Canis lupus familiaris: one gene and its partner. The protein of the gene in region 1 interacts with the protein of each later gene in a pairwise test. Links are inferred from orthologs where the notes say so. Each region holds a gene or a part of one and is shown on either strand. Other genes may lie near its edges.

Region 1 (4,354 bases):
TAAATGCTTGGTGAAAGAACAACTCATTTTCCTAATTTCAATGGCTTATTTTCTCTATAGAATCAGATGTTCGGTTATTCTCATCTCAGCACTATTTTGTTGGCTTCCAGGGAGCACACTACCATTAGATACGTTCTGTTCTCTTTAATTGGAAAGAGCTTTTGGAACTGAAAAATAGGAGTTACTTCTTCAAGCCTCATCTGCTGCTCCCCCGTTCTCACCCGCCTCACACAGGAATCGAACAACTTAGCATCGCACAGAACACGACTCTCTCTCACGCCTCCGTTCCTTTGTACAGGCATGCGGTTCCCTTCGCCCGAAGCGCCTTTCCCCGACAGCTCCGTCTAGTGAACTCCTACTCGTCCTCCAAGACTCAGCTCAGACATCATCATCACCTTCTCTGGGAGGCTATTCTGAGATGGGCAGAGTAGCAGTTCTCCCTCCCATCTTTTTAGCTTCCTCAGCATTCTCCCAAATAATTCTAACATTGCATATGGCATTTTTTTGTTTTCTTCCGCTCCTCTAATTTTTTAAAAGATTTTACTTATTCAAGATTTTATTTATTCAATTCATTTTTAAGATTTTATTTATTCAAGATTTGATTTATTCAATTCATTTTTTAAGATTTTATTTATTCATTTATTCATTTATTATTCATAAGATTTCATTTATTCATTATTATTCACACACAGAGGCAGAAACATAGGCAGAGAGAGAAGCAGGCTCCATGCAGGGAGCCCAATGTGGGATTCGGTTCAGGGACTCAAGGATGACGACCTGAGCCAAAGAAAGATGCTCAACCGCTGAGCCAGCCAAGCCTCCCTCTCCGGCTCCTGTAGACCGCGATTTCCTCGATTTCCTCGAGGGCCGAGATACCTGTTCATCATTGTACCTCTTTACCCAACACCTGTATACCTATACCTATGCCTAGGATTAGCACACATCAGGCACTTGATTAGACCCATGAGCGAAGAATATGTTCATTCGTCTAACAGTGCGGTTTGGACCGAATTCTCAAGCATTTCAAAAGCTGGTCCTCTATTTGGAGCGCTTCAGGATAGAGGGAGATTCCGACATCCCCCGGCAAAATCCTCGGTTTGATGGCAGGAAAAGGGAAGTGATTAGGCTGTGATGAAGAGTTGCTCCTTCAGGGCTCAGCTGTCATCTACCCTCCTTGGCACAGAGAGGGTTACAGCGACCCAGAGGCGGGGCCACGTGGGTGCCACCTGCTCCGGGGCGGTCTGGCGCAGGCGCCCTGGCGTCTAGACGGCGGCTACCTGCGGGGCCCCGGCCGAGGAGGAGCGCGTGCGCTCTGGGCCTTTTCCGCCGGGGGAAGTCTCGCGGGGGCGGGGCGAGGCGGGACGGGGCGGGGCCGCGCGGGGAAGTTCTCGCGGGACCCCGACGAGGAGCGGAAGCCAGGCGGCTGTGTTGCTGCTGCTAGCGAGCGAGCGGGCGGCGGCGGCGGCGGCTGCGACGAAGACTGAAGCGGCGACGGCGGCGGGAGCAGGCGCTGCCCTCGGGGAGCAGCAGCGCGGTCCGCGGCCGCTCGCACCGCTGCAGACGGGTCGGCCGGGCGCGGAGCGGAGCTGCTGCGCCACGGTGAGTACGGGCGGCGGCGGCGGCGGCGGCGGCGGCGGCGCTGCTGCTGCTCCGGTGCTGCTGCTCCCCTGCTCGGCAGCGGGAGGTGGCCCGCGAGGACCGGGCCCGGTCTACCGAGGGCTGCCAGGGTTGGGGATCAGGGTCGGGGCGACGAGGCCTGGCGCGGAGAACGGAGTCCCCCGGGCTCCGTATTTCCCTTTTTGGGGCGCTTCCTTCCTGGGGACCGTCCTTCCCTTAGCTTAGCTCGGGGCAGGAGGCCGGGTGCGCCTCTTTAAGTTTCACGCTTTCTCGGGGGACGGCTTGCGCAGAGGGGCCCGGGAGAACCCCGGGAGCCCTGGGTACTCATTCTGTGAGTCAGTCTGACTCGGCCCGGCCCGGGAGGCGGGGGATTCGCCGCGGCTGCAAGTGTGGTGATTGATGCTCTTGCGACCTGCACGGCCACCACGTCACCATCTCCCGGTGTCTTTGGGCCAGAATTTGGGGAGGGAGCCCACCGACCCTATGAATACCGTGATTTAGAACTTTTGCTGCCGGAGCCAGCTGAGATGTCTAGTTTTTTTGTTTTTGTTTTTTTGAAACTACACTGAAAAATACTTGTAAAGAACAATAAGCAGCAGTTGGTTGGAAATGCTCCGAGGAAAGGTTTCTGTGCAAGAGGATAAGGAAGGCACTGGTATTTTTCATTTGCATCGCTCTCCATATACGCCCCGTGAGTTAACAGCTCGTTTAGGGAGTTCTTCCAAAAGGTACGATTTGCAGAGGAGCCGAAGTGCACTCGACCTGTGTCTTTTGGTACTGTTGACTCAGAAAAGAGCCCAAAAGACACATGAAAGAAGATAGCATATCTCTTTGGCTTTCCTGTCTCTCTCTCTCACTTTATACTTCTCCAGTAGTTGCCTTCCCTTTCTACCTACTTGTCTCCATTTTCACTGGGGACACTAAGTGTTTGCTTGTGTAATGCAAGTCATTTGCTCATCCCTCCCCCCCTTCTTCTAATCTACTTCCCCTTCCTCCTTTTTGTCCCCTCTTTGGCATAATTTTTCAAGGTTTCTGCCCTTTGGTGCAGTTTGTCTTCTCCCTCATTTAAAGATTCCGTTTTCTCTCCGGGGAAGATACCCTTTTTCCTGCTTTATCCTTCACTTTGAAGCGTCCACTGTGTTCCTTCAGTCAGCCAGAAGAGTTGCCAGAGAGCCTTGGGAGACTTTAAGTTCTCCCCCTGGGAACTGGGAGGCTCAAAGGATTGAATTCATCCGTAAGTAATCAATACTGCCACTAGGTCACAAGTGTAGCTTGCTTGTGTTATTTGTGTTTTAGTTGTTCTCTTCATTTTAACATTGTGCTTTTGTGCCTGCTTACACTTTTCTTCCTATGTCTCTTTTATACTAGTAAGGAAGATTGGGTCAATTTGGGGTTTGTAGGACTTCTTTTTCGGCTTTTAGTGGGAGTGGTGTGTGTTAGAAAATGAAAACCAACCTTAGACCTATGTTACAGTAGAATTAAGATAACATTAAATATTTAAGGGAATAGAATTTCTTTAGATCACTGATGAATTAAAACTTGCCCATTGGGCAGCCCCGGTGGCGCAGCGGTTTAGCGCTGCCTGCAGCCCAGGGCGTGATCCTGGTAGACCTGGGATCGAGTTCCACATCGGGCTCCCTGCATGGAGCCTGCTTCTCCTCTGCCTGTGTCTCTGCCTCTCTCTCTCTCTCTCTCTCGCTCTGTGTCTCTCATGAATAAATAAAATAAAATATTTAAAAAAAAAAACAACTTGCCCATTGTGGCAATTGGATTCTTTACCAGGGTTCTTCTAATGGGGCATCGTTGTTACTGTTCTTGGGGTTTTTTCGATATAAATAACTGTTTCATTACTCCTTCCTTTGTCCAAAATTTTCTGAATTCCCAAAATAAAAACCGAAGTTAATTCTTGTAATTGGCTTTCTTTGATACTAAAAGCAAGCATTTAAGTGCTTGAGGCAGTTTACTCCCTTAGCAAGTGTATTCAGATTTGAGGGATTGCTGGGTTTTAAATACTACTAGTTGATGGTACTTAGCAGTTTTTTTGAGAAATTGCTGTTATGTTGCCTGTTGTGCAGCAGCAGTTCTGATTGTTGCCTAGAACAAAATAATAATAGATTTTGGAGAAATTAATACAGAATAGAGATGTACCATGCTCTCCTGAGAGAAATTAATAGTTCCTTGCTTAGTTCAAAAGACTTTCCTAGCACTACTGAAAGGCTATTGAGAGCCCTTGGTTTTATTTGTTAAAGTTGGCTTTTTCCTAGTTGAGCCAAGTGAATGTGCATTACTTTTATTTTATGCAAAGACATTGTAGTGCATTATCTGGAATGCAAAGTTTGAAATCTGGTTAAGGCATTCTACTAGTACAGCAGTGATTCTTAAAATTTAGCATGCTTAAGAATTACCTGTGAATCTGGGATGCCTGGGTGGCTCAGGAGGTTGAGCATCTGCCTTTGGCTCAGGGCGTGATCCCGGGGTTCTGGGATCGAGTCCCACATCAGGCTCCCTGCTACGAGCCTGCTTCTCTCTCTGCCTGTGTCTCTGCCTCTTTCTCTCTCATGAATAAATAAATAAAATCTTAAAAAAAAAAAAAAAAGAATTACCTGTGAATCTTATTTTAAATTAGGCTCTGGGGCTAAGGCCACTACATTGCAAAACTCCAGAAGGCATCCCACAGTGAATCAGTGTCTGAATGAGACTATTTTGATGCAGCTGGTCCAAGGACCAAAACTGTTGT
Region 2 (3,650 bases), on another chromosome or scaffold:
GGATCGAGTCCCGCCTGCATCAGGCTTCCTGCATGGAGTCTGCTTCTCCCTATGCATATGTCTCTGCCTCTCTCTCTCTCTCTCTCTCTCTCCCCTCCTCCTCCCCTCCCCCCGTCTCTCATGAATAAATAAAATCTTTTATAAAAAAAAGGTAATGGAGCTAGAACTCAAACAGTATTTATTCAATTACTTGCTGAGGAAAGGGAATCATTGCTGAATGGTTTTCAGACTGTTCTTGGAATATAAGAAAATTTTATCACAAAATTTCTAGTAAGGTAGTTTAAAATCATGAAATTTAAGTTTTTAACAATTTTCAGAAGGTAAAAAATTTTCAGAAATAAGTGGTTGTAGGTTTTCCATATTCTTGCATGAATGTATTTATATTGTATCTATGTAATCTGTATGTAATATCTCTGTGATGCTCCACTGTTAACTTCTAACAAATTGAAACATTGGAGCATCATCCAATCTAAATTACTTATTATAAGGTAAATTTTCTTTCACGTTGAGAGTAAGATACAAGAGAAACCTTTGGATAAATCCAGTAAAACCAGAGTTGTTAGAATTAATAATGTAATTTATAAGCCTTATTTCTAAGAGCTGATGAGAGAACATTAACTTTCATGGTTTCTTGTTATTTACTACAATGGTTGAATTTTATGTTGTAAAAAATATCAGCTGAATTTCACAGATGCTATTTGCAGAAAAGTTTATAATGGATTGGGTGCTAAAGTTAGCATACTTGGTTATATTGTATAACAGATATGGAGGCTTTTAGGCATTTCTGAAACTTAAGAACTTAATCATTAGAGAATATGAAATAATTTCTGTGTTTATCTTATAGTTACTAACAAAAGCAACTTGTAAGCTTCATGTTTTGCTATTTTAAACTATTTCTATATATCTGGAAAATGTCCAAATGGTTTTCACAGTTGCTTTTTTTCTTTATTATTCTGGCAGTAGTGATCTATATTTGTATTATATTTACGTATGTAGAAAGAGAGTTGGTTTTGAAAGATCAGATATACATAATTAAATAAAATTATTGCTGGTTTTATTAAGTATATTTAAATTTTGAGTTTATAATAGTTGTTGCTGTTTCCTCTAACTACAAAAAAGGAAAAGAATTGAACAATACAGGTTTAATTTTTGTTTGTTTTTCTTAGCAATTGAAAGCATGTAGTGAAGAGCAGGAAGACAGAGAATGTTTGAACCAAGCTATTACAGCTCTTATGAATCTCCAGGGTAGCATGGACCGAATTTATAAGCAGTATTCACCTAGACGCCGACCTGGGTAATTCCAAACTGTTGAAAATATGAATGTTTCTGCATACTTCATTTATTATTGTAGTTATACTTGCATTCTTCAGAGTTATACTTTTGTTTTACATTTTTCTTTTGGTCTCTTAGTTGCAGAAAATTGGCACTGTCTTATTGTTAAGATATATTTAATAAAATTTTAAAAGATATAACTAATAGTTTTGTACATGTTATATAAGAAATTTAGGATTCTTTGTAATTTTAGTTAGTATGGCATTTGGAATGAAATGCAGAGTTTCTCTAGTACTTCTCTTTCACAATAATGAAATTGACACATGTATCAGTTGTGGCAAAGTTAGTAGAAGATAGTAAATGCTATGTGCAAAATCTAGTGTTTGGTTATTTAATATTTTCTCACTTGATTTGAGGTGGTTTACACTTAAAGAAATTTGGGTTGCTCAGTCATTGAAAAAGCTAAATTTATCTTTTTTTTTTTTTAGGGATCCTGTTTGCCCTTTTTATAATCGTCAATTAAGAAGCAAGCATCTAGCTATTAAAAAAATGAATGAAATTCAGAAAAACATAGATGGGTGGGAAGGCAAAGATATTGGACAGTGTTGTAATGAATTCATTATGGAAGGTCCATTGACACGAATTGGTGCTAAACATGAACGACATATTTTTCTCTTTGATGGCTTAATGATTAGCTGTAAGCCCAATCATAGCCAGTCACGCCTTCCAGGTTACAGTAATGCAGAATACAGATTAAAAGAAAAATTTATCATGAGGAAGACACAGATATGTGATAAAGAAGATACTTGTGAGTGCAAACACGCTTTTGAGTTGATATCCAAAGATGAAAACAGCATAATATTTGCTGCTAAATCGGCTGAAGAGAAAAATAATTGGATGGCCGCACTTATTTCTCTTCACTATCGTAGTACACTAGATCGAATGCTAGATTCAGTGTTATTGAAAGAAGAAAATGAGCAACCATTGAGATTACCAAGTCCTGAAGTATATCGTTTTGTGGTAAAAGACTCTGAGGAAAACATTGTTTTTGAAGACAACTTGCAAAGTAGAAGTGGAATTCCCATTATTAAAGGAGGAACTGTGGTGAAATTAATTGAAAGATTAACATATCATATGTATGCAGGTATGTGAAACTCATTCCAAGTGCTTACTTACCTAGGGCTGAGAATCTAAAAACCTTCTCAGGGTTATTCAAAAATGCTTGAGGCACAGAAAAAATGGATTGCCTCTGAAATACAAAAAGAATTCTGTAGAATCAAAAGGAATAAATAAGTAATTAAATGTCACTATAATATTGTTGACTTCATTAATTAGTAAATATTCATTAAAAATTGTATGAATCTTGAATCAGAAAACAATCCGCTTTAATCAAGTAATACAATGATTGACGGGAACGCTCTGGTGGGAGGAACCAGAATAAAGAGAAAAAGGAAGGAAGGCCTCCAAAATATGCTACTTTGAATTAAAGAAACTGAATAAATTGAACATACAACTTGTTTTATACTCTCTTTTCAGATCCCAATTTTGTTCGTACTTTTCTTACTACATACCGTTCATTTTGTAAACCACAGGAATTGCTAAGCTTACTGATTGAACGGTAAGAAAAATATTTACTTTACTTACATTAACGTTTCATAAAAAGTTAACTATTTTGTTCCTTGCAAAGTGGTGGGTACTAGTATGTACTCAACTAGTTTTTGAACATAATTTACTTGGCATTAAATTAATAGTATTACTGTTCTCTTCAATAAAACTATTTCCTTAAAAGAGACTTTTTTACTTGTCACTTTTAAACAGACTTTTTATTAAGGAAACTTTCAAAACATAGAAGAGTATAGTAAACCATCATCCAACTTCAGTAATTATCAATCCATGTTTCAGCTGTTTCCCCACTGTCTTCAACACCCTAACCCTGGGACTATTTTGAAGTAAATCCTAGACAACATATTTCATCTGTAAATATTTTCATTTGTATTTCCAAAAGATAAGTATTCTTATTAAAAACACAATCACAATCTCATTATTATACCTAAAAAAATTAACAGTTCCTTTTATTATGATTAGTTTTTAAAAATTAAGTTTTGAATTTTTCTTTTTTAGATAGCATCTGGGCTCCAAAGTAATTTTTGGTTCACATTTAAAAACTTAATACCAGAATTTTATCTTGACCTGTATCATTATGTTGTATTATGAATTAAAGTTCACCAGACTGAATTACTGTAATGTGCTATGAAGATCTACTTAGTTGTATTTCCATGTCCAAAATAAGGGAAGCATACTTCTTAGACTTATATTTTAGCTATTCTTCCTATAATTGGGCAAGGTTTCATTTTTTTTTTAAGCTTTGATTATTAACT

The links. The genes of interacting proteins can lie anywhere in the genome.
Region 2: the proteins of GRB2 (region 1) and SOS2 interact in binary tests that used the Homo sapiens proteins (3 or more experiments, as listed by UniProt). The link is inferred for Canis lupus familiaris from reciprocal best matches to the Homo sapiens genes GRB2 and SOS2.

Annotation. Positions count from the first base shown.
Region 1 is NC_049230.1:5,987,143-5,991,496, forward strand, and holds the start of GRB2 (growth factor receptor-bound protein 2), read left to right. Parts: upstream 1-1,447; 5' UTR 1,448-1,599; intron 1,600-4,354. UniProt on the Homo sapiens protein: Non-enzymatic adapter protein that plays a pivotal role in precisely regulated signaling cascades from cell surface receptors to cellular responses, including signaling transduction and gene expression.
Region 2 is NC_049229.1:26,892,451-26,896,100, reverse strand, and holds part of SOS2 (son of sevenless homolog 2), read left to right. Parts: intron 1-1,166; coding exon 1,167-1,294; intron 1,295-1,760; coding exon 1,761-2,416; intron 2,417-2,808; coding exon 2,809-2,890; intron 2,891-3,650.